3 linked regions of the Caenorhabditis elegans genome follow. The protein of the gene in region 1 purifies or fractionates together with the protein of each later gene. This does not show direct contact. Each region holds a gene or a part of one and is shown on either strand. Other genes may lie near its edges. The genes, in order: rde-4, rde-1 and drh-1.

Region 1 (8,462 bases):
TATTCTGGTATTTTTGACTATGCTGAACAGTTTTATGCAATAAAAAAGAATGACTCCATTTGATTTTCCCATACTTTTGAATTTTTGAAAAAATCAGCTTTTATATATTTTTATCAATTTTTTAAAAAATACTTTCGTACAAGCTAATATACTCTGTTTGGCTGTATTTTCGGATGTAAGGTACAAAATTTTATTAAAGCACAAAATTATTGACAATATGTATAAACCGGGTACAAAATAATTAGTAATTTTGGAAATTGGAAAATGGTTTGATGAATTAGAATAGAATTGGAATAGTTATAAAACATAGAAACACAATTAGATTACTTGAATCTGTAGGCATACTGCTCGAGCTGACGCTTCTTCATTCTCTTGGCTGGAATCATGACAGTTTCCTTCACTTCTTTGCATTTTTTGATGTTTGCATCCTTCTTCGCTTGCTCCTTCAGTTTTCTGCTCTCAATGAATTTCTTCAACTTCTCATCATTGGCTCGATCTTTCTCTGCGGATTCTTGACGAGACTCTTGCTGCTATGGCTTCATGTTCCGCGATGCTTGGGCAATCACTCTCTTTCGCTTTGAAGTGACTTTAATTGGAACTGTTCTTTTAGACAAGAACATATCAAACGAGAGTTCACTTGAAGATGACGAAGAAGAATTTGATGCAGATGGTGATGTAGATCCAGGACTTCTTGATCTTTTTGGAGCAACTCTTGACTGATGTTCCTCTGCTTCAAGTCGAGAAATGATTCTAACAATTCTTCTCGCTTCCCACATTATACTCTCCGAGTTGACATATTTCATGGTAAGTGCCTTGATGCCATGTTGAGATCCGAAGCGAACGGCATTTTGAGTTCGTGGAAAGAAATTCTGAGAATTACTAGAGTAAAATAAAGCATTAAAAGATAAAGAGCAGCGAAGAAAATATAAGTCAGACAATATTCGATGGACCTCAAAATACATAATTATTCAAACAAGAGAAAGAGAGTTTGAGGTGAGACCTCCAGTTGACTGAAAATGTAGAATGAATGACTATTCTAATGGCAACCGGATAATATCATCATAAACGCTGGATGTGCAAACCACGCCCCTTTACCAACAAGTATACGATACTTTGACCCAGTTATCGATCGACGAGGAATGTGAAACAATACAACTTGCACCTCCGTTCTTACATGTACCAAGATTTATGGTCTAACTGTGGCTATTGGCCTTTGGTAACGGATGGGAAAATAGTAACAACCATAATATTACGGGTACACTAAATTCTGAGAATGCGAATTTCGCAACATATTTAACGCGCAAAATATCTCGTAGCGAAAACTACAGTAATTATCTAAATTAATACTGTAACGATCATAAGGGCTACAGTAGTCATTTAAATGATTACTGTAGTTCTCGCTACGAGATATTTTGCGCGTCAGATATGTTGTACAATACGCATTCTCAGAGTTTAGTGTTCACGTAATAAGTAACGCCACAATCAGTTTTGTAGTTTTTCAGACTTCCGTCAAAAACTACCCGTTCATGCCTCAGTGCTTCAGAAAGCTCTTGAAAAATCATACCCTTTTTTTTGTTGTAGCATTCTTCAAATATTCAGTGTCAATAGCAATAGAGTTATTTAAATATGAAACATTTCAGAGATTTTTAATCAAAATGGTATTAACAAATAAGAATGAAGAAAATGAGAGACAACAGAAAAAGCCGTTTTAACAGGATCAGGAGACGTGGGGAGACCTACTTAATAACCTAACAATTAACTATTCTAAAACAGCATTCAAAATGTTTGAGGTTGTCCGGTGGCAATGATTGTATCCAGATCTTTGAGTTGCCGTTCGAATGCGTCAAGCTCTTTTTGTAATTGCCGTTTTTTGAGAACGCTGTAGTAATTTACACCTGAAAATACATACACACTGTAATTGTTAATCAGCAACTTAAAAAATCTTACCATTAAAAGAGAAATAAATCTTGAAAAGTTCAAAACCAGCTCCAGCAGTAAAGCCAACAAAGAACAATCCTTCCCATTTGGAAGAAAGTGAAGTGAGAGCACGTGAAAACGGACGAATCATCTGAAAAATCCAATTTTGGCTAGTTTAAAACTTCAAATCTCACTTTTTGAACGCAAATCCGGCCTTATCTGCCTCGATTAGTTCTCTCTCCAGAAGTTCTCGCTCTTCTTGACGGATTGGTCGCACAAACCTGGAATTTTATGGAAAGTTATATAAAATATAATGGATTTTAATCCTTTACTTGTAGTAGATTCCTGCGTTGATGATACAATATGAAGTACTGAAAACGAGGAAACCAAGGATGGATCGGACAATTACTGAAAAGAAAAAGAATTACTCAGGCAACTCAAATCTAATATGAAAATATTAAATAGCAATATTTTCGTAGTTGGGTGATATTTCAAGATAAAATCGCAATATTCCGAGACTTATTCGAAATCTTTTTAGATTGAGCAATCTTTTGAGAATATTTCGCAATATTTTGAGGTTGATTCGCAATATTTCTGAATCTGAAAATATTACGAAAAATTCGTAATATTTTGAGATGACATAGCAATCTTTTGAGATTGGTTCGCAATCTTTCTGAAATCTAAAAATATTACAAAAAAATGTGTAATATTCTAAGATTAATTTGCAATCTTTTTGCAGTCCATAAAGATTACAAAACACCATTTCCAAATTTCCATCGGCTTTACATGATCGTGATATATATACAACAATTATGATTACTGTTCCGTTCTAAATTCTCTTTTCTTCCAAATGATAAAAGACTTTTCAAAGTAAAAAACAGCTACATGAAAATCTATATAATGGAGCATCTCACTGTTAACGGATATTTGATTTTTCGTTGCATATTGTAGAAGGAGTTTTTGCAGAGAAAGCCATAGAATTCACAAATCTGTCCACTCATGTAATTTTTTCTAGATAATTGGCCGGTCATATTACAAATTCAGTCAAACAATCACGAAGATTGGTCGAATATATTAAAGTAGACTTACAACTATTCATTCACGCGTGATGCGTTTGAGATTTTCTGATTTCAATTGAAATCATAAAATATTGTCAACAGCAAGCATGTTCCCAGTATACTCATCATTTTAATCAAATTGTTAGTGAAAAAAAATATTGAAAAAATAAAATGTTTTTCTCTCTTTGACAAAAATTCGGAAAAATTGCACATCTAACTTTTTTAAAAGCATAACAAATAAATCGTTTTTCCACATTCGCTTTCAAAGAAAGTTATCCAATTTCGCTCTGACACTTAGAAAATTTGCGAAAAGTCACTGATTTCCCATCAAAGGTAACGAAAAGGACGTGCGCCCATCAACTATTTACTTAAGCAATAACTAAATCTAGATGCGACACGTACAGGATGGCTCAACAGGTAAGATAATGGTTTATAGACTCAACGACAAGCGACGGACAAGTTCAACTCCCCTCAATGGCAACAAAAGTTCTTCGAGTTATCACAAAACAGTTCTAGAATAGTCGATGAATGCATTTTTAATATTTAGAGACAAATTCGCAATATTTTGAGACAAAATCGCAATATTCTGAGACGAAATCTCAATCTTTGCAGATGAAATCTCAATCTTCGGAGACGAGTTCGCAGTCTTTTGAGACAAATTAGTAATATTTTGAGATAAAACGGAAGTCTTCCTAGAAATTTTCACACTTTCGCAATATTTTGAGATGAAATTGTAATCTTTTGAGACAAAATTGAAATCTATTCGAAATTTTTAGTAATCGTATATGGACGCACTATTTCTCGTTTTTACTACAAAAATATTGCTATTTAATATTTTCATATTAGATTTGAGTTGCCTGAGTAACTGGAAAATCAATCTTTCAAAGCATTACTCAGGCAACTCAAATCTAATATGAAAATATTAAATAGCAATATTTTTGTAGTAAAAACGAGAAATAGTGCGTCCATATACGATTACTAAAAATTTCGAATAGATTTCAATTTTGTCTCAAAAGATTACAATTTCATCTCAAAATATTGCGAAAGTGTGAAAATTTCTAGGAAGACTTCCGTTTTATCTCAAAATATTACTAATTTGTCTCAAAAGACTGCGAACTCGTCTCCGAAGATTGAGATTTCATCTGCAAAGATTGAGATTTCGTCTCAGAATATTGCGATTTTGTCTCAAAATATTGCGAATTTGTCTCTAAATATTAAAAATGCATTCATCGACTATTCTAGAACTGTTTTGTGATAACTCGAAGAACTTTTGTTGCCATTGAGGGGAGTTGAACTTGTCCGTCGCTTGTCGTTGAGTCTATAAACCATTATCTTACCTGTTGAGCCATCCTGTACGTGTCGCATCTAGATTTAGTTATTGCTTAAGTAAATAGTTGATGGGCGCACGTCCTTTTCGTTACCTTTGATGGGAAATCAGTGACTTTTCGCAAATTTTCTAAGTGTCAGAGCGAAATTGGATAACTTTCTTTGAAAGCGAATGTGGAAAAACGATTTATTTGTTATGCTTTTAAAAAAGTTAGATGTGCAATTTTTCCGAATTTTTGTCAAAGAGAGAAAAACATTTTATTTTTTCAATATTTTTTTTCACTAACAATTTGATTAAAATGATGAGTATACTGGGAACATGCTTGCTGTTGACAATATTTTATGATTTCAATTGAAATCAGAAAATCTCAAACGCATCACGCGTGAATGAATAGTTGTAAGTCTACTTTAATATATTCGACCAATCTTCGTGATTGTTTGACTGAATTTGTAATATGACCGGCCAATTATCTAGAAAAAATTACATGAGTGGACAGATTTGTGAATTCTATGGCTTTCTCTGCAAAAACTCCTTCTACAATATGCAACGAAAAATCAAATATCCGTTAACAGTGAGATGCTCCATTATATAGATTTTCATGTAGCTGTTTTTTACTTTGAAAAGTCTTTTATCATTTGGAAGAAAAGAGAATTTAGAACGGAACAGTAATCATAATTGTTGTATATATATCACGATCATGTGAAGCCGATGGAAATTTGGAAATGGTGTTTCGTAATCTTTATGGACTGCAAAAAGATTGCAAATTAATCTTAGAATATTACACATTTTTTTGTAATATTTTTAGATTTCAGAAAGATTGCGAACCAATCTCAAAAGATTGCTATGTCATCTCAAAATATTACGAATTTTTCGTAATATTTTCAGATTCAGAAATATTGCGAATCAACCTCAAAATATTGCGAAATATTCTCAAAAGATTGCTCAATCTAAAAAGATTTCGAATAAGTCTCGGAATATTGCGATTTTATCTTGAAATATCACCCAACTACGAAAATATTGCTATTTAATATTTTCATATTAGATTTGAGTTGCCTGAGTACTACAACTTGGAAAACATATTCGTCATGTTTCGATTAAATAAATCGTTGTCTAAATCATGTTCTTACCCTTATGAGCGATGTCAAGTCGACGATTTGTGAAGATTCTTCGGTAAAGCGGTCGACTGTCTTCTCTCCTTCGTGCCGCGAACTGAACTCGCGACCAAAACATTCACTGCAAAAATAAAAAAATAAAAAAATTAATTTCAAAGTTAAAAAAATGAACTGTAAAATAAGGAAAACACTTTAAAGATCACTTTGAAAAATATATTTTATTAAAATAAATAAATTTTATTGAAGCAATCGTTATCCGAGAGGAGTACACAGCAAATCGCACAGTTGAAACAAGTGTTACCGTACCACCGGTCTCGTTGCCTTTGATGAGAAATTACCGCAAAACTTGAAAATTGAACGTTTTTTTCTTTTCGTTTCTTTAAACGAGATCCGCTATTATTTTTGTTTCAAATTATATTATTTATAGATGGATTTAACCAAACTAACGTTTGAAAGCGTTTTCGGTGGATCAGATGTTCCTATGAAGCCTTCCCGATCGGAGGATAACAAAACGCCAAGAAACAGAACAGATTTGGAGATGTTTCTGAAGAAAACTCCCCTCATGGTACTAGAAGAGGCTGCTAAGGCTGTCTATCAAAAGACGCCAACTTGGGGCACTGTCGAACTTCCTGAAGGCTTCGAGATGACGTTGATTCTGAATGAAATTACTGTAAAAGGCCAGGCAACAAGCAAGAAAGCTGCGAGACAAAAGGCTGCTGTTGAATATTTACGCAAGGTTGTGGAGAAAGGAAAGCACGAAATCTTTTTCATTCCTGGAACAACCAAAGAAGAAGCTCTTTCGAATATGTAATGCTTTCAAGTTTATCAAATTGAATTATATTTCAATTGTTTTCAGTGATCAAATATCGGATAAGGCTGAGGAATTGAAACGATCAACTTCAGATGCTGTTCAGGATAACGATAACGATGATTCGATTCCTACAAGTGCTGAATTTCCACCTGGTATTTCGCCAACCGAGAATTGGGTCGGAAAGTTGCAGGAAAAATCTCAAAAAAGCAAGCTGCAAGCCCCAATCTATGAAGATTCCAAGAATGAGAGAACCGAGCGTTTCTTGGTTATATGCACGGTAGAACTGCTAATTAATAACTCGAAAATAATAAAAAATTTCAGATGTGCAATCAAAAAACCAGAGGAATCAGAAGTAAGAAGAAGGACGCAAAGAATCTTGCAGCATGGTTGATGTGGAAAGCGTTGGAAGACGGTATCGAATCTCTGGAATCATATGATATGGGTATGCCTCCAAATAATTGTAGTTAATATTTAATTTTACTGCTTTCAGTTGATGTGATTGAAAATTTGGAAGAAGCTGAACATTTACTCGAAATTCAGGATCAAGCATCCAAGATTAAAGACAAGCATTCCGCACTGATTGATATACTCTCGGACAAGAAAAGATTTTCAGACTACAGCATGGATTTCAACGTATTATCAGTGAGCACAATGGGAATACATCAGGTGCTATTGGAAATCTCGTTCCGGCGTCTAGTTTCTCCAGACCCCGACGATTTGGAAATGGGAGCAGAACACACCCAGACTGAAGAAATTATGAAGGCTACTGCCGAGAAGGAAAAGCTACGGAAGAAGAATATGCCAGATTCCGGGCCGCTAGTGTTTGCTGGACATGGTTCATCGGCGGAAGAGGCTAAACAGTGTGCTTGTAAATCGGCGATTATCCATTTCAACACCTATGATTTCACGGATTGAAAATATTATTGCGTATTCCTGAAAAATGAAGCGTCTGAATGATTATATCCTTTTTAAATATTTTTTTGAATAATGCCATTCAGAGTTGAAACTACTCGAAATTATATTTTTGTCGTTCTTTGTGTTTTCTCTCCCTCCATTACTTTTCCTCGTGTCAATTCTACTGTGATTGTTCTTTGTGTGCCTGCCGCGTGGTAAGATTGTGTGCGAAACGTCACAGTTTTGTGCGTTATGGTTTCTATTTCTATGAAGACAATGTGCTCTCACTCCATCAACGGGCGGCTGTGTTTTATCATTACCTCCATCACTTATAGAAACAGTAAATACCAATGATGTTCTTTGTCCGTTTTCTCCCCAACGTGGTTCCATCAATCATCAATAGAATTCTATAGAAGATGCGTAATCTCTATGCCTCTGACCTCTACAAAACTCTTTTCCACACTCATTCTCTGCAGTGCACGAGAGCGAGATTTAGAGAAGAAAAGAAAAAAGTGTGCGGCCTGCGCGCCGCCCGTCCTCATTTTTGAACGAGTGTGGGTCGCGGTCGCAAATTGTTTCACCTTCACAGCGTAGTTAAAATGTTTCAATAAAATTTATCATCATTTTCAAGTTCTCAAATGATAAATCTCATCTGTTTTTTTTAATTGCGTGACCCGCCACATTGATATGACGATGCAAGTTTTCCAATTTTAAATTTTCGTGATTTCCAGGTTTAATCCGACCAGAAAATGTCGCTCTCTGGAATGGCTATTCGCAGACTTATCACCAAGGGAGTCATCCCTGTGTGTCAAGTCGCTCCACTTTCAACATCTGCTGAAGGATCCACCAATTTGAAGGAGGTTCTTTCCAAGAAGATCCCAGCCCACAACGCTAAAGTGAAGTCATTCCGCACAGAGCACGGTAGCACCGTCGTTCAAAATGTGAACATTGACATGGTAAGCAACTACTAGGAAGTTTAAATTCATAGTCTCTTTTTCAAGATCTACGGAGGCATGAGAAGCATGAAGGGAATGGTCACCGAAACCTCAGTTCTTGACCCAGAGGAGGGAATCAGATTCCGTGGATACTCTATCCCAGAATGCCAAAAGCTTCTTCCAAAAGCAAAGGGAGGAGAAGAGCCGCTTCCAGAAGCCATTTGGTGGCTTTTGTGTACAGGAGATGTTCCATCCGAGGCCCAGACTGCCGCTATCACAAAAGAATGGAACGCCCGTGCCGATCTTCCAACCCACGTTGTCCGAATGCTCGACAACTTCCCAGATAACCTCCATCCAATGGCTCAATTCATCGCCGCTATCGCTGCTTTGAACAATGAAAGCAAATTC
Region 2 (11,097 bases), on another chromosome or scaffold:
GCTTATTTTGTGGATTTTTTCTCTAACTGTTTATGTTTCAAATGAAGCTTGTACATTTTGCACTAGGTGTGTAACTACAAGTGAGTAATCTAGAACACCTTATTCAATTTGGTGAAATTCGCAAGTTCCTTTAACTTAAGCACAACCATCAAAGATCTGGTTGGTTTAAAGAGCATCAGAAGGCACAAGAAACTTCAAAGTTCCCGTAACATCGTTCCATCATATCTCTTATATGTTTCAATCTTCTTATTGGCATTATCAGCATTTGCAGCGGTTTTGTTGATATAGACTGAGAACCAGCGAAACAAGTTCTGCCCTTCTTACGATACACATACACAATATATCACTATTTTCACCACTTCATTTCCTCAACCATACCCACGTTCAGACACACATGCTTTTCTTTCAATTTTTCCATTCTTAAGTTTTTTATTGTTATTCAATACAGCGAGTACTTCAGTTGAAGTTGTTCCAAAGATTTCACTTTTCAGAATGAAAGTGTTACCCTTGGAACGGAATCTTGAAACGCCACCTCATCTGACTACACGTCTTCTTGCAACGTCCGTAGTTGCTACGTTTGCCGGTGGTTTTCATTTTGGATACTTGATCTCGGCAGTCAATCCGTTATCTGAAATTCTCCAGCAATTCATAGTAGATAATTTACAAAAGTATGTTAAAAATTTTGAACCTCAGATGTCTGAATTCGCAAAGTAGTAGGGAAATAAAAATTGAAAACTTATTTTTGAAGTTATCTTCAGTCAATGAATTGTTTCAAACAAACATTTAATAATGTTCATTCTTGAAATGACACCAATCAAACTAAATAAGGCTTGGAAAAAACTGAAACATTCATTTTGCGTAAGTTATGTTTGAAAATACCTTGTCACTCATTCAAAACATTTTGGAAAATATTGCCTAACTCCTCATTTCCCACACTTTCAGTCGTTATTCATATGAACTCTCATCATCTCAGCTTTCATTGATATGGTCTTCTCTAGCTGGATGTTTATTTATTGGAGCCATGATTGGAGCATATATTTCAATTTTCCTATTACAATCAATTGGGCCACGAAATAGTCTTCTTTTGGCTGCTATTTTACAATTATTCTCTGCGCCAGTATTTGGTCTGGCATATTCATTGAGATTATGTGAACTTTTACCTATTTCGAGAATCCTTTCTGGTATTGCATTTGCAATTGGAATATCTGCACAAGGTGTATTTTTAACAGAGATTAGTCCAGGTATCATTTGAAATTGAACTACTAATATTTTCCATATTTGCAGCCAAGTTCCGTGGTTTAACCAACTCTCTTAGCGGTCTCATCGGAAATTGTGCATTCCTCTTAGCAGCAACTCTTGGAACCCCATATGTACTAGGAACAGTAACCCAGTGGAAATATATTTTTTTTATTGAAACAATACCATGTGTACTACACATTTTGGTAAATATCACAACATTCCATGATAGTCCTACATACTTACTATCAATCGGAAAGATTTCTGAAGGAGAATCGGCTATAAAAGTGTATTATGGTGAAACATGTCATATCAAGAAAATTATGGAAGATTTGAGAATTATCGATAATGGAGTGAAAGAAAAGAGCCTTCGACAAATTTTGAAGGATAAGGGATGTGCACAAGCATTGTCACTTGCTGTTGCTATCAACTTTTCAGTAGCTTTTAGGTAAGAAAAAGATCCTGTAATTGTTACCCACGAGTGTTTGGTAAACTTATCCATTTACTACCATTTTTTGCAGTTTTTATGTTTTCCAACACATTTTTTGGGGTTTTCAGTGTTCCCTTCGGAATTAAATTACAGATGTCAAATTTCAAACGTAACACCTAAAAACTTTTTAAAAAGTCATATTCGGAAAATCCCGACATAAAATGATTTTGTAAGGCGACATAATAGCAAGAATATACAATTTTCAGTGGTATTGTTGCCATCTCATTCTTCGGGACGTTTTTATTACAAACAATTGGATTTTCACCAGAGGGATCCGCAGTGGCAAACAGTTTATGCAGTTTTGCATCGATAGTTTCAGCACTACTAGCTGCCATAGCTATGGATAAGGTTTCTATAATTATTATTTTTAAACTGGATTATTATCACATTTTAATTTAGATTGGCCGTCGTCCACTTCTTATCACATCTCTTTTAGTTCTTGCTCTTATAAATATTTTTATGATGTCCCTGGTATTCTTATACGACTCTACGAAAGATTCATTCCTCGCTTGGCCATTTTTGGCATTATTTGTATTATTCACATTTGTTTTTAGCATTGGAATTGGACCGGCTGCAGTCTTCATTGGAGCAGAACTTGCTCCACCTGGAACCATTTCTAAAATGCAGAGTTATAGCACTTCCGTACAGTGAGTTTCTGCATTTTGCACTAGATTAATATTTGAATTTTTGAATTTCAGATTTGCCGGATCTTTTATTTGTCCAATCATTTATCTCCAACTAGTCGAATCTATTGGCGGATTTGCATTTATGTTATTTATTGTTCCACTTACAATCACAGCAGCCTATTTTTATATGTAAGATTTAATTCCTTGTTTAACAATTCCTTATGATTATTTCAGGTACCTTCCTGAAACCAAAGGAAAATCTCCGGTGGAAATATATGGGCTTCTTCAATGATAAATATCACGGTTTTTACTTTTTCCTATGCTTTAGATTTCATCAAAGTTACCGGTGTTCTTTAAATATTCTCAAAAAAATAAGTAAACTGTAGTATACAAAAACTTAAATCTTCTAGTTGAAATTACAGTACTCTTTGTATCTTTGTAGGCGTGTCCTTTGCGCCTACAAAGAGTACTGTAATTTCAAACGTTCGTTTCTGCGGATAGTTTTTCATTTTTTCCAGTATTTGTTGAAAATATATTTATTTATTGAAAAAATACATTTCAACAAAAACAAAATGTTATTATCAAAATATAAAAACTGTCACCTCAAATTTGACTGCAGCAACGCGCGCGAAATTTTTGCTCTCGATTCCGCATGGCGTAAAAACACCTGTAACCACGGCCCCGCGGGTGGTGACAGAAACCGGAGACGAGAAAATGCGAAGATACAACGCAAAAACTGATGTTTCTAGCGTTTTCTCTTCTCCCGCTTCTGTCATCACCCGCGAGACCGTGGTCCCAACTGTTTTTACGGCATGCGGAATCGAGAGCGAAAATTTCGCGCGCGTTGCTGCAGTCAAATTTGAGGTGACAGTTTTTATATTTTGATAATAACAAATCGTGAGAAGAACTATGAAAAGTCGATGAAAATTCCACGAGTTTTAACTTACAGTAACCTTTGAAGGAGCACGCCCGCTTGTGTTTTTGACGCAAAGAATCGCGACTGTGTAACTACTTGTTTTCGTTATAAAATTATTCTTTTTATTCACTTTTGTATTTAGCATTGGAATGGGACCGGCTGCAGCCTTTATTGGAGCCGAACTTGCTCCACCAAATTTCCAAAAATGCAAAACTAGGTTTTTGGTTTCCTGTAACCAAAATATAGTCTTCGGTGGGAATATATGAACTTTTTCAATTATAATGTTTTCTTCTATTTCTATTACTTCGATGTCATCAAGGTTACCGGTGTTCTTTATTTATTCTCAAAAATTAAATAAACTATATACAAAAATCCATAAATTAATTGACATGTGAAAAATACTATTTTGGTTGAACTTGAATATGAAACTTCACAGAAGGTACACTTTCGATTGTTGGAGTTACAATTGCCTGAAACGAACAAACGTAGATTACGCAAAAAAAGAAAGAACTCACTCTAATATTAAGACCAGCAAGGGCTCCGCGAAGTAAACCACATGGAAAAGCAAGGAAATATCCACTTTCTTTCACGTATTGATCACCTTCGGGAAAACTTCGCAGCGTTGTAAATCTTCCATCTTGAACAACATAGACACCCTGAAAGATATAAGTTTTGGAAATAAAATCGTTTGAAAAATAATATACCTGATGATTTGTGCGGAGATTATCGACTTGCTTGCCAAACACTGATGACCAGAAATCCTTGCAAATGAACTTTACAATCTGATTTTTTTAAATTACAACCGGATAAAACTTGTCACAAAATTCTTACTTCTAACTCAGTGACCAATTTCGGAGACTCTTTTGATACTTTTTCCACGAGCTGCCTTCCAACTCTGAATCCGATCGACTCAAGTTTAGTCTCTGCATTTGCCTGAAGAACACACATTGGAAGACGTATTCTAACATTTAACTTACGTGAAGAAAAGCTTTTTGAACTAAGCTTTCGTACTTTTCAATATCAGCTGGACCATTCAAGTTATCGATAATCTGAAAAGTGATTTCCAATAAAATAAATTGAAACTCAGAAATCAAGAAAAACTCACTGTTCCAAACTTTTCCTTTGCTTCACATCGATCTTTTTCACTTTCCAAAGTTGAACGGATAATTTCCAAATGTAAAATATCAAAAGGAAACGCCATAAAAAATTTCTTGAAGGGAAATAAAAAATAAATAAATTGGAAAGAGTGGTTCTGCAAACACGGGGACGAAGTATTGCGGAGGAAACAGCGCAAATGACGACATTCCTCATGCTAAAAATATTTTCAAAAAACATTTTTTCTCGCTTAAAAATGCCTTGTAACACTGTTCAACTTAATTAGAGATTAAAACTTAACTTTTTCTATCTTCAATTATCAAATATACTTCTTTTTTAATCATAAACGTTGTTTATTGGTAATTTCTAGATAATCAACAGCCACAAAGTGATGAAACATGTCCTCGAATTTTCCCGAATTGGAAAAAGGATTTTATCGTCATTCTCTCGATCCGGTATGATCAATTATTAGCAGCTATAAGATATATAAGTTTGATATTAATATTATAGGAGATGAAATGGCTTGCGAGGCCCACTGGTAAATGCGACGGCAAATTCTATGAGAAGAAAGTACTTCTTTTGGTAAATTGGTTCAAGTTCTCCAGCAAAATTTACGATCGGGAATACTACGAGTATGAAGTGAAAATGACAAAGGAAGTATTGAATAGAAAACCAGGAAAACCTTTCCCAAAAAAGACAGAAATTCCAATGTAAGTGCTTGTAAATTAGTCAAAACTAATTTTATTTTTCAGTCCCGATCGTGCAAAACTCTTCTGGCAACATCTTCGGCATGAGAAGAAGCAGACAGATTTTATTCTCGAAGACTATGTTTTTGATGAAAAGGACACTGTTTATAGTGTTTGTCGACTGAACACTGTCACATCAAAAATGCTGGTTTCGGAGAAAGTAGTAAAAAAGGATTCGGAGAAAAAAGATGAAAAGGATTTGGAGAAAAAAATCTTATACACAATGATACTTACCTATCGTAAAAAATTTCACCTGAACTTTAGTCGAGAAAATCCGGAAAAAGACGAAGAAGCGAATCGGAGTTACAAATTCCTGAAGGTTTATGAAAAACACGCATTATAACAAACAAAATTAGCTTTCAGAATGTTATGACCCAGAAAGTTCGCTACGCGCCTTTTGTGAACGAGGAGATTAAAGTGTGAGTTGCAATAATAATAATAATAATCACCTCAACTCATTTATATATTTTAAGACAATTCGCGAAAAATTTTGTGTACGATAATAATTCAATTCTGCGAGTTCCTGAATCGTTTCACGATCCAAACAGATTCGAACAATCATTAGAAGTAGCACCAAGAATCGAAGCATGGTTTGGAATTTACATTGGAATCAAAGAATTGTTCGATGGTGAACCTGTGCTCAATTTTGCAAGTAAGTTTGAGAAACTGCGATAAAAAATCATGTGATTTTTGTTGAAGTTGTCGATAAACTATTCTACAATGCACCGAAAATGTCTCTTCTGGATTATCTTCTCCTAATTGTCGACCCCCAGTCGTGTAACGATGATGTACGAAAAGATCTTAAAACAAAACTGATGGCGGGAAAAATGACAATCAGACAAGCCGCGCGGCCAAGAATTCGACAATTATTGGAAAATTTGAAGCTGAAATGCGCAGAAGTTTGGGATAACGAAATGTTAGTTTAAATTATTCAAACAATTAATATACAAATTGATTTTCAGGTCGAGATTGACAGAACGACATCTGACATTTCTAGATTTGTGCGAGGAAAACTCTCTTGTTTATAAAGTCACTGGTAAATCGGACAGAGGAAGAAATGCAAAAAAGTACGATACTACATTGTTCAAAATCTATGAGGAAAACAAAAAGTTCATTGAGTTTCCCCACCTACCACTAGTCAAAGTTAAAAGTGGAGCAAAAGAATACGCTGTACCAATGGAACATCTTGAAGTTCATGAGAAGCCACAAAGATACAAGAATCGAATTGATCTGGTGATGCAAGACAAGTTTCTAAAGCGAGCTACACGAAAACCTCACGACTACAAAGAAAATACCCTAAAAATGCTGAAAGAATTGGATTTCTCTTCTGAAGAGCTAAATTTTGTTGAAAGATTTGGATTATGCTCCAAACTTCAGATGATCGAATGTCCAGGAAAGGTTTTGAAAGAGCCAATGCTTGTGAATAGTGTAAATGAACAAATTAAAATGACACCAGTGATTCGTGGATTTCAAGAAAAACAATTGAATGTGGTTCCCGAAAAAGAACTTTGCTGTGCTGTTTTTGTAGTCAACGAAACAGCGGGAAATCCATGCTTAGAAGAGAACGACGTTGTGTAAGTGTTTTCTACGTAGATTATTCCGAAATATTTTCAGTAAGTTCTACACCGAACTAATTGGTGGTTGCAAGTTCCGTGGAATACGAATTGGTGCCAATGAAAACAGAGGAGCGCAATCTATTATGTACGACGCGACGAAAAATGAATATGCCGTAAGTTTCAGAAAATTGAAAGTTTTTAAATATCATATTTACAGTTCTACAAAAATTGTACACTAAATACCGGAATCGGTAGATTTGAAATAGCCGCAACAGAAGCGAAGAATATGTTTGAACGTCTTCCCGATAAAGAACAAAAAGTCTTAATGTTCATTATCATTTCCAAACGACAACTGAATGCTTACGGTTTTGTGAAACATTATTGCGATCACACCATCGGTGTAGCTAATCAGCATATTACTTCTGAAACAGTCACAAAAGCTTTGGCATCACTAAGGCACGAGAAAGGATCAAAACGAATTTTCTATCAAATTGCATTGAAAATCAACGCGAAATTAGGAGGTATTAACCAGGAGCTTGACTGGTCAGAAATTGCAGAAATATCACCAGAAGAAAAAGAAAGACGGAAAACAATGCCATTAACTATGTATGTTGGAATTGATGTAACTCATCCAACCTCCTACAGTGGAATTGATTATTCTATAGCGGCTGTAGTAGCGAGTATCAATCCAGGTGGAACTATCTATCGAAATATGATTGTGACTCAAGAAGAATGTCGTCCCGGTGAGCGTGCAGTGGCTCATGGACGGGAAAGAACAGATATTTTGGAAGCAAAGTTCGTGAAATTGCTCAGAGAATTCGCAGAAGTGAGTTGTCTTGAGTATTTAAAAGATCTCTGGGATTTTTAATTTTTTTGTAAACTTTCAGAACAACGACAATCGAGCACCAGCGCATATTGTAGTCTATCGAGACGGAGTTAGCGATTCGGAGATGCTACGTGTTAGTCATGATGAGCTTCGATCTTTAAAAAGCGAAGTAAAACAATTCATGTCGGAACGGGATGGAGAAGATCCAGAGCCGAAGTACACGTTCATTGTGATTCAGAAAAGACACAATACACGATTGCTTCGAAGAATGGAAAAAGATAAGCCAGTGGTCAATAAAGATCTTACTCCTGCTGAAACAGATGTCGCTGTTGCTGCTGTTAAACAATGGGAGGAGGATATGAAAGAAAGCAAAGAAACTGGAATTGTGAACCCATCATCCGGAACAACTGTGGATAAACTTATCGTTTCGAAATACAAATTCGATTTTTTCTTGGCATCTCATCATGGTGTCCTTGGTACATCTCGTCCAGGACATTACACTGTTATGTATGACGATAAAGGAATGAGCCAAGATGAAGTCTATGTAAGCGTTTTGAATAGCAGTTAGCGATTTTAGGATTTTGTAATCCGCATATAGTTATTATAAAAAAATGTTTCAGAAAATGACCTACGGACTTGCTTTTCTCTCTGCTAGATGTCGAAAACCCATCTCGTTGCCTGTTCCGGTTCATTATGCTCATTTATCATGTGAAAAAGCGAAAGAGCTTTATCGAACTTACAAGGAACATTACATCGGTGACTATGCACAGCCACGGACTCGACACGAAATGGAACATTTTCTCCAAACTAACGTGAAGTACCCTGGAATGTCGTTCGCATAACATTTTGCAAAAGTGTCGCCCGTTTCAATCAAATTTTTCAATTGTAGATATTGTACTTACTTTTTTTTAAAGCCCGGTTTCAAAAATTCATTCCATGACTAACGTTTTCATAAATTACTTGAAATTTATTCTGTGTTTATTATTTATTACCTCTAAATTTCGTTTTGAACGTGAGCATCATATCTTAAACTACTTATTGATAACGGTTTCATAAAGATAGGTAATTTGATTTTTAAAATGTTTTCTCTCTGCAGGTGATTTCACGACTTCTTGGACAGTTCGGTCACAAGATGACATCGCTCATTGGTACTCACTCCGGAAAATTCCATTGCGATGAGGCTTTTGCTTGTTTCATGCTGAAACAATTGCCACAATTCAAGGATCATTCGATTTTAAGGTAATTCGATTTTTCATGTTTATCAAGTTTGCGAAATGACCCACTTTTTTATTAGGATTTATTTTATAGCTGAGTTCTGAAATCTGTAATTTCAGAACCCGTGACGCTGCTCAACTGGAGAAGTGTGATATTATCGTCGATGTCGGTGGAATCTTTGATCATTCAAAACAACGATACGATCATCATCAACGTGGATTCACTGATACCATGCGTACTCTAGAGAAGCTTAACTTTGATACAAAACTAAGCTCTGCAGGATTAGTTTACGCTCACTACGGGAGAGAAGTCATCAATCAGGTAACTTTCAATAATCAAAAGGTTGTTTTGAAACTATTAACTTCAGATCCTTGGTGGAAATGTGTCATCCTCGATGATTGATCTATTCTATCATCGTCTCTACGAGCAATTCGTTGAATCAATCGACGCCATTGATAACGGGATTTCTCAATACGACGGAGTTCCAAGATATCATTCATCAGGAAATCTTTCATCGCGTACTGGTCAATTCAATTCCCATTGGAATGAACCTGAGAATGATGCTGATGAACGATTCCAACAAGCAATGCAATTCATCGGTGAAGAGTTTTCACGATCAGTGAAGTACTTGGCAAATGTTTGGTGGCCAGCTAGAGAGATCATCGAAGCTGCTGTGGATAAACGATTTGAAATTGATGCATCTGGAAGGATCATTCTTATCGAGAACGGTGGATGCCCGTGGAAAGAACACTTTTTCGACATTGAAGTAGAGAAGAATATTGCCGACGATAATATCACTTACATTCTGTTCTCGGGTTAGAAATTATTTAATTTTTTAAAATTCAATAATTATTATCTGTTTTCTAGATTCTACCAATGCTTCGTGGCGCGTTCAAGCAATCCCAGTCGACAAAATGTCATCATTCGAGAATCGCATGCCACTTCCAGCTGCTTGGCGTGGTCTCCGTGATGACGATCTTTCGAAGGAAAGTGGAATCCCAGGCGGAGTCTTTGTCCACATTTCCGGATTCATTGGAGGAAATCTGACTCGTGAAGGAGCAATTGCCATGGCACGGAAAGCTCTCGAAATAGGAGAAGAGAATCCAGTGAAAAAAGCTAAATTGGGTAATTAGATCTAATCTATCTAAAATTAATTACTGTTTTCATTTGTTTTGTTTGAATTTGTCCAGCTGATATTTCAGTGATCCTTTGATATTTTATTACGTTCAATAAACTTCCTCCCCGATGTCACTTTGCTTTTCTTCTTTTCTTTTTCCATCTCTTACACTCCAGTTGTCTATAAAATTTGTCACGTGTCATAACGGTCCGGTTCTTGCCTGAATCTTTATACTTCTAAATCAGTGAGCCATTGGTATTTTCTAAGCTTAACAGATGACTACGCCGTCTACAAGTTCTGAAACTGTATGGAAATATGTGGGAATAACAGCAGCCACAGGTGCGGCTGTAGGTATATTTCTATACTATGCAAGAAAAGATGACCGAAATATCGTCGAAATCGAACGACTTCAGATGATGACCGAGGTTCTAGGGTATCAAAATGAAGTACGAAAGTTGTTTCAGAAAAAATAATTTTAGTGCCAAAGTTGACGATCTCGAAACTCTGCTGAAAACCATGTACGATGAAATCAAAAGTCAACGCGCACTTCGAACTTCTTTGAGTAGTGGAGCTCTCAAGACTGTATCTTTCAAATTAGGTAATTGAAAAAAAGTAGAAATATAAATTATATATTTTTCAGAAGCGAGTAATAGCCGTCCTTCTACCTACAAACAAATGTCAAGGACCAGAAGCTGGACTTCGATTACTTCAGATTCAGAGTATGGAGACGCCGAAGAAGATTGGTAATCATTTGCTGCCAAAGATGTCAATAATAGATCCAGAAATCAGAATGATAAGATTAAAAATCTCCACAATCATAAATTGAAAAGATAAGATAGATCTCTATAAATAATGACGTCAACTCTTGCCCGATGTCACCCTTTACATCTGATAATCTGTTCTCGTGAGCTCCCAAGAAACTTCTTTACACTTTGTGAGACAAGATTTTTGGGAGAGAGAAAACGTCTGCATTTCTCTTGAGTTCTGTTTCAACAATGAATTCTATTATTATCTTGTCACTAATAATTATTCAATTTCTGTCGATTTGTGATGCCAGGTAAAAAACATCTAGACTTATATTTTTCGATGACTCACCCACCATGGTAGATCAAAATCTTGTTTTTTTTGACCAACAAAATTTTCAATCGTTTTTGCAGGTACACTGACGACCGCGCATTTGGTGACTCAAAATCGCTCAGCAGATCCTTATCGCAGGTCAGTTGGAGTATTTTTGTCTTCTTTTTCCGACTTTCTTCTCTCGAAAAAAACCCTAG
Region 3 (12,632 bases), on another chromosome or scaffold:
AGAATGTACGTTTGCCCAGTTAATGAATCAGCTAGAGACATGATAGCATCTTTGGGAACAGAAGAGTTCAACACAGATCGATTCAGGTGATTTTTGTTTTTCGAAGATACACCTCATTGCAATTCGGTTTTGGGAGGATGAATAAAGGAAATTAATTAAAAAAGGAAATGGTTAGCTTGTGTTCTTAATACATTAAAAAAAGAAAACATGGTCTAGAGTTGTCCAAGATTCATTCTAACTAACTATACTAACTAACTATAGTACCGTCTATCAATCTTGCATGCAAGACTAACTTTCGGTTGGCCCGTAGGGGTGCAAAACTAATTTTTGAAGATCCAATGTAAATTAAACAATTTAAAATTTAATTTAGCCAAAAAATGACGAATTTGTTGAAGTTCCCACAAAAAAATTGCTGGTCTGGCAGAACTAATAGAGGAAATACGGTATTCCCTTTTTAGAATAATCAACATTCGTGTGGACAGCATTGCCCCAGAAAATTCAGCGTCGCGACTGGTTATTGAATCTGTTCGTCAACGAATTCATATTCGTGAGTTTTTATCTTAAATTTACCTGGAAATAAAATTAAACTGCATTATCTTCCAGAAAGACAGTTTTGCCTTCGAAATTACCAAGAGGAACTCTGCCAGGTGGCTCTTCAAGGCAAAAATACAATTGTTACTGCTCCAACTGGCTCTGGAAAAACTGTAATCGCTGCGAATATTATCAAAGAACATTTTGAGTCGAGGTCAAGTGAAGGAAAACGATTTAAGGTTGCTTTTCGCTATTTTAAAGTTTAAAATCCGAATCTTCAGGCTCTCTTCATGACACCGAACTCAATGATCTTGAATCAACAGGAGACTCGGATTTCGTCATATTTAGCACATCTTTACCCTTTATTTTGTATATGCAAATAATCAATTTTTAGAATATCTATTTTCAGACTCAGACTATTCAAGGATCCGATAATGTTCCAACGAGAAATGTTATTCAATCCAAAGATCTCATTGTTGCAACACCTCAGATGATTGTGTTAGTTTATTAATTATCAATATTTCCCAAATTAATAGTTTAATTTCAGAAATCTTTGCAATGAGCACCGAGACCCACTTGACGATGAATATCCACCAGAGCAGTTCTTCCTGTCAACTTTCACAATTATTTTCTTCGATGAGTGCCATAATACCGTCAAAAATTCCCCATATTCAAGTAGGTCTCAAAATAATTCTTCTTTTATTTATTTTTTCCTTTCAGATGTAATGCGAGAATACCACTACCTAAAGAATATGGGAAACATGCCAGAAGGACACAGTTTTCCACAAATCATTGGTCTGACAGCATCTCTTGGAACTGGCGACAAAAAGAATTGCATGCAAGTCAGGAGTTATATTGCTGGTCTCTGTGCAAATATGGACGTCAAGGAGCTAAGCATTGTTAAAGATAATTTGGAAGAGCTGTTGGATCACAATCCGTTTGTCACGGATCGTAAGCTATTTTCTTTTCATATCTTTTGAAAAGTCTAGTTTTCTTCACAACATTACAATTTGGATAGTATAGTAGCATTCGTTCGAGAGTTTTCTAATATTTTTTTTTTCATTACAGAGGTCTCATTTTGCGAAAGAAGCAATGATGGCCCGATTGAAATGTTCACGAAGAGGCTCAAACAGATGATGCAAGAAGTGGAAGATCTCATCAGAACAACATTAAGTACGAATTTAATGAAAATAGAGAGAATTTGTCTTATTTTCAGAAAACGAACCTACCGTAAAGTATGAAATCCCACCGACTGATAAGGAGCATAATCGTTATGAAAACTGGATTTCCAATCAGAGAAATTGTGTCTCGCTGGCGGGTTCCAGGAACAAAACGCTCATCATTGAGGTGTTGGATGTGTTGAAGGTACAGTACATGTTCTCTCAAATGAAGATTTTCTGGAATTATTTTAGAAAATATCGTTTCGGTTTTAAAAGAATATTTCAATTTCAGGACTGTTTCTATGCCTTGTCATACAACATTAATTTCAATCCCGAAGTTGCATTGAAGAAGTATTTGGAAAAGGAATTGGGTCCCGAAAGGATACGAAATTTCACCGACAACATGAATTTAATATGGGACAGTGAGTTTCACGAATTCAGCTAGAAAATAAATATATGAATTTTAAAGATTGTCATCGCGAATTGGTTGGAATTGGTTCAGCGGAAAATCCAATGATTGCTAGAACTGTGCAGTTTATTTTAGACCAAAATGAGCAAACATCCGACTTTCGTGCCATCATTTTTGTACGAACAAAAAAGGAAGCAGACTTTCTCAATTATGTTTTGAATGATCGATTGCATGAGCTTGGAATCAAATCTGATTGGATGTCCGGTACAGTTTTCCAAAATGTTGTAGATAAATAATAAAAAAACTGATTTTGAATTTCTTAATCAAGTTTTTACGGGCTTTTTTACAGGACAGAAAAAGTCGACTGCGAGCAGCGCCGATATCTCAGCATCGAAACAAAAACAAATGGAAAAGTTGAAAATGTTTGCTGATGGAGAAAATCAAATTCTCGTCTCAACCTCTGTTGCTGAAGAAGGATTAGATATTCCAGAATGCAGTCTTGTCATCAAATATAACTATGCAACAAATGAAACTGCTCACGTTCAACGAAGAGGACGAGCAAGAGCTCGAAACTCAAAATGTGTGCTCATCACAAATAGCATTGCACTTCATGTCCAGGAAAGCAATAATCTAGCAAAAGTGAGTAATTAATGTGCATATATAAATTGTTTTAACATTTCAATCTCTTTTTAGGAAAATCTAATGACCGAAACGATCTCCCTAATCCAAAATTCGCCAGGAGAATTCCGACAATGTGTAGATGAGGAAAGCAATAAAGTCTGGCCTCGAATCCAGAGAGAAGATACCGATAAAGCACAAAGAATTAAAGAGCAAATTAATCGGAATATTGTGTACAAGATCGTTTGTATGAAATGTGATACAGTTTTGTGCACGAATAAGGATATTCGATCAAAAAACACGCAATACATTGTGTGTAATCCCGGATTTTGGAGTCTCGTTCGAAGAATTCCCTTGCCACTTGAACAAAGGGCATCAAATAAATTTAATTCAACTGGATCGGTGAGAGTCAAAGAGATTCGTAAAAAAGATTTTATAATATATGCATCTAAACTTATTTAGATTGAATGTCTTGGCGAGAGGTGTGGTTCGAAACTTGGACAGTTGATCGACGTGAATACAGTGAATCTCCCGTGTCTGAAAGTAAAATGTTGGTTTTTTTCTCATTTCAAAATAGAAAAATGTCCCACGACATCACATCATCCAAGATTGGGCCGTTATTTGCAGTCCGGAGATTAGAACATTTTATAGCTCTATAGATTATTAAAAAGTGAGAGTGAGCCCCAATCTAGGATGTATAATAATAAATGTAAAAATTGAGTTATTTTCAGCTATCCTGCTACTGATTGAAAGTACCAATGAACGGATCCTCGTTAAACAATGGAAAAATGTATGTTTAACGATCAAAATATACAAGATTCGGTACAAGTTTTTTTTCAGATTCTGGATGAACATTTCACACCGACCACACTAAAGCAGCGAGATGTTCAAACAATGAAAGACGCGGATTATGGTCGAGCACCAATCGAATTTGAGCATCATACAGCTAATGGAGAAGTAATCAATGTAATTAGACAAGCATAACTTGAGGCATTCCAATTTAATTTAGTATTTGATAATTTCTACGAGGGTCTTGTTTTAATGCTTTATTTCATTCTTTCCGATTTCATATCAAACTCTCAAAATAAGACATTCCGCAATTGCAATTGTACTATTATTGTAAATTACTCATTTTATAAATAAATATTTTTCTATTTTGAATGTAAATTCGACCATCTTTCTTGTTTCGATTTTTCCTTTTAATTGCGGTTTATTCCAATTTAATTAATATGCTAAATACCGTTTTTCCTGTGTATTTTTGGTTTTTTGTGTGTTTTTTCTCGGCAAAATTCTTAAAATGAGTTTCTCTGCTTTATTTTGAATTTTGGAAAAGTTAATATTTTCTTTTGTCGACAGCTCTGGTGAGAGAGTGCGGTTCCAGTGTATTAGTAGAGAGACGCAGACGTGCACTCAGCTGTCAGCAAGCGTGCTCAGTTGAACGAACACTGTATTTCTTGTTTTTTCTCGAATTAAATCTAAATGTTTTTCAGAAATAATGTTTCTTTGAGCCCGTTTCTCTTAGTTTTTCTCAAAAATCTAAATTTGCAGATAAAATGAGGAAAAAGCAGTGTTCTTCAATATTATCCCTCTACGACAAAGAGATCATACTCTGCCTCGAGCCGATCTACCGTGATCCGGAAAAAGTGAGCTGGAAATGCATTTTCTGCCACGCTTCAATCGTTTTTTTTTCAGGGTGATGGATTTTCCGAGCTGCTCCCGCTAGGAAGGATCGACGAATTGAAAATTCAATCTGAAAATGCGCAGGAATTCTCGAAGCAACTGTATCACGATCTGAAAAACAGTATATTGTCAAACGCTGATGATGAGCGGCTTTACAAAGATATTATGACATATCTGCAAACTTATCGTATGTGATGGAACTATTTAAAAATAATAATTATAAGTTTTCAGTTCCAAAATGCACGGTGCATAAGCTTCTTAACTGTTCGAACAGAGAAGTGAAATTGAGCGATTTTCAGTTTGTGAACAAATGTTTTATTCAAAGTTGAATTAAAATCTTATTTTCAGCTACATTCTCGATCACTTCGAAGGTTTCCTACGCTTCATTGAACCAAAAGTGGTTCTGGCTTATCTGGACTCGTACCCTCAATACATCGACGCCGTTGCAGTTCTGAGAAAAGAAATAGAGCGCAACGAAGAAGACAATCAAGACTCGGATTTCATAAAGAAGCTAATTCTTCGAACTGTGCCTCTGCTCGGAGAGCAAGCGGTATACGATATAATGTATACAATTTCGGAGAAAAGTTCAAATAACCTCGATGTCGAGGCGAAGCAATTTATCGCCAAAGTTTTGCGATTGAAAAACGATGGATTCCTCAGGTTTTACCGTACGCATCTATTATCAATAGATAATTGTGAAAATTACATAATTTTATCGTGTTATAGAAATCATCAATGCAAGTAGAAGACAGTTGAATGGAAGAATATACATTTGTCCAGTACATGAATCCGCTACGGAAATGATGGTCTATTTAGGAACTGCGGCTTTGAATACTAACCGATACAGGTGAATTTTAATTGATAAAATACAATTGCGCTACTGTTTTGGAAGAATACTAATTTTTATCGAAAATTGGAGATACGACTGAAAATGTATACAATTTTCATTCGTATCAATTGTTAGTATGCTATCTAGAATCACTATGATAAATTCCGGCAGAAAAACACCCGCCACACGCATTGCTAACTCTTAAATGTACGGGAATGTTTGTTGAGAGGCGCAGAAAGTGCAGCAGTGCCAATTTATATATCTTTCTCATTTTAAACATCTTTGAGCATTTTTTTCACATAAATCTAGTGTTATCGAGTATTCATTCTTAATAACTAATTTTTCAGAATGATCAATATTCGTGTCGACAACATTGTACAAGAAAATTCAACTCCTCGTCTTGTAATTGAATCTGTTCGTCAACGAATTCATCGGCGTAAGTTTCCATCCTAAATTTGCCTGGAAATATAATTAAACTGCGTTATCTTCCAGAAAGACAGTTATGCCTTCGAAATTACCAAGAGGAACTCTGCCAGGTGGCTCTTCAAGGCAAAAATACAATTGTTACTGCTCCAACTGGCTCTGGAAAAACTGTAATCGCTGCGAATATTATCAAAGAACATTTTGAGTCGAGGTCAAGTGAAGGAAAACGATTTAAGGTTGCTTTTCGCTATTTTAAAGTTTAAAATTCGAATCTTCAGGCTCTCTTCATGACACCGAACTCGATGATTCTGAATCAACAGGCGGCTAGCATTTCATCATATTTGGATCATGTTTATCATGTTTGTTTCGTATTCGAATACTCAGATAGTAAATTAATAATTTCTTTTAGACTCAGATCATTCAAGGATCCGATAATGTTCCAACGAGAAATGTTATTCAATCCAAAGATCTCATTGTTGCAACACCTCAGATGATTGTGTTAGTTTATTAATTATCAATATTTCCCAAATTAATAGTTTAATTTCAGAAATCTCTGCAATGAGCATCGAAACTCACTCGACGATGAGTCTAGATTGGATCAGTTTTTCCTCTCGACGTTTACCATTATTTTCTTCGATGAGTGTCACAATACAGTCAAGAATTCTCCATATTCAAGTTGGTTTCGTAATTAAAAATACTATTAATATAAGTTGTCATTTTCAGATATTATGAGAGAATACCACTACCTAAAGAATATGGGAAACATGCCAGAAGGACACAGTCTTCCACAAATCATTGGTCTGACAGCATCCCTTGGAACTGGCGATAAAAATGATTGTCTACAAGTCAGGAATTATATTGCTGGTCTCTGTGCAAGTATGGACGTCAAGGACTTGAGCATTGTTAAGGATAATTTGGAAGAATTAAGAGGTTATTCGCCGATTGTCCCAGACAGTGAGTTAATTTATTTTCTTAGGGGTACCGTACTCCTTGATGATGAATTTATTTATTAAATTTACAGAGGTCTTACTTTGCGAAAGAAGTACTGATGGCCCGATTGGAATGTTCACGAATAGGCTTACACTTATGATGCAAGAAGTTGAAGGCCTAATCAGAACCGCACTACGTATGCTCAGACAGAAAATTGAGAGAATTTATCTTATTTTCAGGAAATGAGCATATCGGGATTGAGCAAAGACGACAGATTGAAACGACTGAACGAGATTTCCGTCCGGATAGTAGTTTTCTCGACCCGCCAGCTGATAAAGAGCATGCTGGTTATCAGAACTGGGTTTGTAATCAAATGAATCTGGTCTCAGGGACGAGTTTCCGAGAAACCGGGACAAGGACTATAATTAATGAGGCATTGGATGTGTTAAAAGTTAGTGTGTGATCATTTACACTCAAAATAATGAAACTGCGTTGCGTGTACGACCAAATAGGCCCCGCCTTTTAATCGTCCACTCACGGGGAAAGGCAAAAATAGGGGAGGGGGACAGCTCGCCACGCCAACAGTGAGAAAAATAGTGTGTTGCGCGGACCTCGAATGATGTCGGCGGCTGATATTGCCTGGGGTACCGCTTTTTGCCTTTTCCCCGTGAGTGAGCGAAAAAAAGGGGCAAATACTGTTTTACTACTTGATCTTTTACTACGTATCTCTTTTACTACAAGATCTCTTTTACTACAAGATCTCTTTTACTACGGAATCTCTTTTACTACGAATTCCGCATTTAGATCTTTTACTACAATTGGCTCTTTTACTACGTGTTCTCTTTTACTACGATTTTATCACATAGATCTTTTACTACGAAAAATACTTTTTTACTACCTCATCTTTTACTACGTGGATGTTTTACTACGTTTTACTCTTTTGCTACGGACGTATTTTTACTACGTGGAGGGATATTGTTGGGTTACTGTAGTGGTATTGTATAAGTAACAGTTTTCAGATTACGTATTATAGTTTTTTTTTAATTTCTAGAAATTTATTCACTATGAAAAACGATAAATTGCTTATTCTATACAAGATTTGATAAATCCAGAAAAAAACAAGTTTTTGATCAAAAGTTTTTGCAAATTTAAAGTTTTTGATCAAAATTTCAGTTGAAGTCAAAATTTCAAACATCTGGCATATAACTGACCGAACCCGCAAGTTGCTTATTACATTTTAAAAACTTATAAATCAACCGGTAGGGAACTAATTTGTTGGTAACGCGAAAAAAGTTAATTACTCCCACAGTATCACTACAGTAATCCAACAGGATCCCTCCACTAACTCCATCTCAGTATCCAAAAAATAAACAACTGAAATTTACTAGAACTACTTGTGCACAAACTACAATTGTGACCTATATATTTTTAAAAAATATTCATAGATTTGTTTATATCTAGACTATCCTATAAAAATTAATTTTTAATTCGTAGTAAAAGATACGAAACAAAATATAATCCCTGCCATTGTAGTAAAAATTTTTTCATGGTGAATAAATTTCTAGAAATTAAAAAAAAAACTATAATATATTATCTGAAAACTGTTACTTATACAATACCACTACAGTAACCCAACAGTATCCCTCCACGTAGTAAAAGATGAGGTAGTAAAAAAGTATTTTCCGTAGTAAAAGATCTATGTGGTCAAATCGTAGTAAAAGATATCACGTAGTAAAAGAGCTAACTGTAGTAAAAGATCTAGATGCGGAATTCGTAGTAAAAGAGATCTTGTAGTAAAAGAGATACGGAGTAAAAGATCAAGTAGTAAAACAGTATTTGCCAAAAAAAGGCGGGGCCTATTTTGGCGTACACGCAACGCAGTTTTATTATTTTGAGTGTATAAGATTGAAACTATTCTGAATTCGATTCCAGGAATGTTTCTGTACTTTGTCATACAACATTAATTTCCATCCCGAAGTTGCATTGAATTACTTGAAAGATGAGATGGAATATCGGACACCAAATTTCACTGTCAACATGATTAGAATATGGGAACGTGAGTTTTATCACTTACTTAACGTTAAAAATTCTCAATTTTAAAGGTTATCACAACCAATTGGTCGGAACTGGTTCAGCGGAAAATCCCATGATTTCTAAAACAGTGCAGTATATTGTTGAACAAAATTTGCAAAGAGCCGATTCTCGAACAATCATTTTTGTGCGAACTAGATACGAGGCAACGATTCTCAATAAAGTTTTGAATTCGAACGAAGAATTGCTGATGCTTGGAATCAAATCTGAATGGATGTCTGGTAGAGTTATTCGTTTTGAAAACATAACTTATTCATTTTTATTACAGGATTGAACAAGTCGACTGCGAGCAGCGCCGATATCTCAGCATCGAAACAAAAACAAATGGAAAAGTTGAAAATGTTTGCTGATGGAGAAATTCGAATTCTCGTATCAACTTCTGTTGCTGAAGAAGGATTGGATGTTCCTGAATGTAGTCTTGTCATCAAGTATAACTATGCAACAAATGAAATTGCTCACGTTCAACGAAGAGGTCGTGGAAGAGCTCTCAACTCAGAATGTGTGCTCATCACGAATAGCATAGCACTTCGAGACCAGGAAAGTAACAATCGGGATAAAGTTAGTAATTAAGATCAACGAATTAGTTGAAAATATTAATGTATTTTTCTTAGGAAAGTCTAATGTCTGAGACAATCTCCCTAATCCAAAATTCGCCAGCTGAGTTCCGAAAATGTGTAGACGAGGAAAGCAATAAAATATGGCCTCGAATCCTGAGAGAAGATACCGATAAAGCGCAAAAAATCGAGGAGCAAATTAATCGAAATATTGTATACAAGATCATCTGTAAAAAATGTGAAGCGATTTTGTGTACAAGCAAGGATATTCGATCAAGAAATACTCAATACCTTGTCTGTGATCCGGGATTCTGGAGCCTCGTTCGAAAAACTCGCCTGACGGATGAGCAACAAGCATTAATTAAATATAATGCAACTGGATCGGTGAGAACCTAAAAGATTAGTGACACAGTTTTTGAATGTAAACTCGTTCAGATTAATTGTCGCCGCGAAAATTGTGGTTTAAAGCTTGGTCAGTTGATTGAAGTGAATACAGTGGATCTTCCATGTCTATCAGCTCTTTGTGGGTTTTCTTTACATGCTTATTTTATTTAATTCTTAATTCTATTAATTATTTAATTTTCAGCTATCGTGTTGCTAGTCGAAGGTACCGATAAACGGATCATCGTCAAGAAATGGAAAAATGTAAGTTTTGTGTGCAGACTTTTCTCGTTTTTCGAAAAAAAAATTCTTTCAGATTCTTGACAAATATTTCACACCGACCGAAATACGACAATTGGATGTTCAAACAATGAGAGATGCGGATCAAGCTCGAACACCAATGGTATTTGAGCATCACGCGAATGGAGAAGTAGTCAATTTAATCAGAGAAGCATAAGAAGACATTCTTATTTAATTCAGTATTTGACAATTTCTACGAGTTTCTTATTTTCATGCTTTATTTTAGTCTCTCCGGTTTCATATCAAATTCCCAGAGATTAAGTAATGCATTCCACAAGTGTACCATTGTTTATTACTCATTTCCGTGTTTTTAAAAAAATAAATTTCACAGCTTTTTTATTCGGCATTGTTTCTTTTTCAGCATTGCGGTTTATTCCAATTTAATTCATATGCATCTTTCTTCTCAATCTTTCAGGTTTCCGTATGACTTATTCTACCCACATTTGTGGTATGTAACATGTAGGTTGTAGTGTGACGATAAGACTTCTTATCAAATCACATCAACTAAAGTTTTTTCGTCATTTCAGCCATTTCGATCAGAGTATTTTATTTTAGTCTACCATTTTGAAGTTTGGCATTTCGTGTTGTCCTGAAAGTTATTTTTTTAATATGGTAGATTTCTAATCTCAATTTGAAAACAACTCTTATAAATTCACTAAAACTTCATATTTTCTAAAAAATCCTGTATCTACTCAGCGATTTTTTGCGATATTGTAAAATTTTCTCGATGATTGTTCAAAAAAAAATCTACAGCTGCTTATTGTAATATCCTCAATCCAACCGCAATTCCAACATCAAGATGACCAAAACCTCACTTTTGAATTGTCTAACACTCTGCGTTTATTCACATTTTTACTCTCCCACTCCACTTGCCAATCGCTCAGTTCCAATCATTTTCGTTCACAATCTCAGCGGACACACACGCACACACTGGGAATGTATTCAAACACACAAACAACACAGTTTCGATTGTAGTTTGTGCTGATCATTTTTTCTTTCATTAATTCATCAGACCAGTTGTGTGTTTTTCGAGATTTTTTTTTGTAATGTTGCGAGTTTTTGTCTCTTTGCTTGGATAATTGGGCAAAAAACATGAATTTAAATTCTCTAACCCTAAAAAAGACTTATTTTCGCTTCTTATATGTCTGAATTTTTGTAGTTTTTTTAGACAAAAAAACATTTTTGCCAAAAAACCAAAAAAGACAAGCATATTTCGCACTGGTGACGAGGGTTTGGAAATTACAGTAGTCTCTCAAGGCGCATGCCTTTAACAAAAACTTGTCGTGGCGAGACCATGTACTGTATTTTTTTTGGCAAAATTACTCAATTTTAACTTTTTCCAATTTTCTGGGCCATTTTCAAGGAAAATCACTTTTTTAATGTAATGTGTTCGTTCAAAGGTTTCTATGGAATTCCTACGACAAAATTGGTTGGCAATAATCTTTTTCATTCTCTTTCTTGTCTTCTTTTTCCTACTGCATTTTCTTATATTTCCTTTTTTCAATATATCACCAATTTTTTCCAGTAAGAATGGCATCGGCAGTTGCACCGATTTTCGGTGTACTTGGTAGTTGTATGGGATGTATGGTTTTTGTGGAGAACATCGCAAAGTGAGAAAACCTACAGAATACCCTACAAAATAGCATCTTTCAAAAACACGATTAAAAAAAACCGGTTTTCGGGTACAAAAAATGTGTAGCAAGAATCTGATGAAAGTATTTTGAGGTCAAATAATAAATTTAACAAAATTAAAAATTTAATTTAAAAACTTAAAAATCAAACATAGAAGCGTTAAAAAAATAAATTTACAGACAAGAGCCATCTGCCATGAACCTGATGACATTTTCTACATTTCTCTTCATCTCTACAGTAGGACTCGTCTCAACTTCCAAATTCTTCACAGTTAAAAATCAAATTCCATTAAAGTGAGTTTATTGCTCTTATTTTAGTAAAAATCGTTAATTTTTTCAGAGGTTATTTCAAGACGGTTACCATGTTCTTCATTGTCAATGTTGTCAATAATCAAGCTCTCAATTTCCATGTGCCTGTTCCACTTCATATCATCTTCAGATCGGTGAGCGCCAGGAATTTCGCAGGGGAATTTTTTCAGTTTTTTCTGAAAAAAACCCAAAAAATTAACAAACTATTTCCAAATTTTCGATGAATTTATGACATATGAAAATATGTAATTCGAAACCAAAAATTACAGGTATTTTTTGAAAAATCTTTTTAAAAAATTAAAATGTTCGATTTTCCAAAAAATACACCCTTGGCGGATGATTAGTTTTAGAGGTTTTATAAGCAATTTAAATTATGTAAAATTCATTCAAAACCGGCTAAACCTACTTTTTCAGGGTTCTCTTCTTGCCACATTGATTCTCTCAGTTGTTATGGTTGGTAAAAGTTATTCTGCTCGGAAATACATTTCCGTATTCGCTATTACCATCGGAATTGTCATTTGCACACTTGCCACGTCAACACAAGGAGATTCGGGACTTTCGATGGAAGAAGCATCGAAACATTATAAGGAATGGACGATTGGAATTATTATGCTCACTTTTGCTCTATTGGCTTCAGCTGTTTTAGCAATCTATCAACAACAAATGTACGAGAAGTATGGGAAACATCCAGATGAAGCTATGTTCATTACTGTAAGTAACCTCATTCAAATTCAATAATTTTGACTGAACTTATTTCTAGCATTTGATCTCACTTCCATTCTTCCT

Evidence for each region.
Region 2: the proteins of rde-4 (region 1) and rde-1 purify together in Caenorhabditis elegans (affinity purification with western blotting; one study listed by BioGRID). This does not show direct contact.
Region 3: the proteins of rde-4 (region 1) and drh-1 purify together in Caenorhabditis elegans (affinity purification with mass spectrometry, with the first as the bait; one study listed by BioGRID). This does not show direct contact.

The regions. Positions count from the first base shown.
Region 1 is NC_003281.10:10,216,024-10,224,485, reverse strand, and holds rde-4 (DRBM domain-containing protein), read left to right. Parts: upstream 1-5,839; 5' UTR 5,840-5,841; coding exon 5,842-6,221; intron 6,222-6,270; coding exon 6,271-6,502; intron 6,503-6,546; coding exon 6,547-6,667; intron 6,668-6,715; coding exon 6,716-7,140; 3' UTR 7,141-7,184; downstream 7,185-8,462. Other genes in the region: Y70G10A.4 (ATP synthase subunit e, mitochondrial), read right to left, coding at 1,777-1,895, 1,948-2,068; cox-14 (Cytochrome c oxidase assembly factor 3), read right to left, coding at 2,065-2,068, 2,112-2,198, 2,250-2,325, 5,430-5,532; cts-1 (putative citrate synthase, mitochondrial), read left to right, coding at 7,869-8,075, 8,121-8,462.
Region 2 is NC_003283.11:9,985,279-9,996,375, reverse strand, and holds rde-1 (Piwi domain-containing protein), read left to right. Parts: upstream 1-4,733; 5' UTR 4,734-4,761; coding exon 4,762-4,818; intron 4,819-4,873; coding exon 4,874-5,073; intron 5,074-5,115; coding exon 5,116-5,428; intron 5,429-5,472; coding exon 5,473-5,528; intron 5,529-5,582; coding exon 5,583-5,761; intron 5,762-5,808; coding exon 5,809-6,025; intron 6,026-6,071; coding exon 6,072-6,683; intron 6,684-6,723; coding exon 6,724-6,838; intron 6,839-6,882; coding exon 6,883-7,491; intron 7,492-7,552; coding exon 7,553-8,035; intron 8,036-8,111; coding exon 8,112-8,333; 3' UTR 8,334-8,460; downstream 8,461-11,097. Other genes in the region: K08H10.6 (Major facilitator superfamily (MFS) profile domain-containing protein), read left to right, coding at 493-668, 943-1,241, 1,285-1,684, 1,933-2,074, 2,126-2,373, 2,425-2,541, 2,587-2,644; trpp-6 (Trafficking protein particle complex subunit 6B), read right to left, coding at 3,670-3,738, 3,784-3,924, 3,973-4,050, 4,100-4,201, 4,246-4,317, 4,374-4,469; MYG1 protein C27H6.8, read left to right, coding at 8,624-8,730, 8,826-9,027, 9,074-9,521, 9,574-9,839; rmd-2 (TPR_REGION domain-containing protein), read left to right, coding at 10,099-10,256, 10,303-10,421, 10,464-10,566, 10,981-11,038.
Region 3 is NC_003282.8:6,604,988-6,617,619, reverse strand, and holds drh-1 (RNA helicase), read left to right. Parts: upstream 1-4,266; 5' UTR 4,267-4,271; coding exon 4,272-4,361; intron 4,362-4,410; coding exon 4,411-4,585; intron 4,586-4,629; coding exon 4,630-4,696; intron 4,697-4,746; coding exon 4,747-5,066; intron 5,067-5,124; coding exon 5,125-5,245; intron 5,246-5,574; coding exon 5,575-5,663; intron 5,664-5,719; coding exon 5,720-5,886; intron 5,887-5,928; coding exon 5,929-6,009; intron 6,010-6,059; coding exon 6,060-6,148; intron 6,149-6,197; coding exon 6,198-6,325; intron 6,326-6,373; coding exon 6,374-6,604; intron 6,605-6,671; coding exon 6,672-6,776; intron 6,777-6,819; coding exon 6,820-7,031; intron 7,032-8,512; coding exon 8,513-8,636; intron 8,637-8,682; coding exon 8,683-8,892; intron 8,893-8,939; coding exon 8,940-9,229; intron 9,230-9,282; coding exon 9,283-9,609; intron 9,610-9,660; coding exon 9,661-9,748; intron 9,749-9,811; coding exon 9,812-9,870; intron 9,871-9,922; and 3 more. Other genes in the region: nstp-2 (UDP-xylose and UDP-N-acetylglucosamine transporter), read left to right, coding at 11,437-11,516, 11,718-11,831, 11,878-11,980, 12,261-12,557, 12,607-12,632.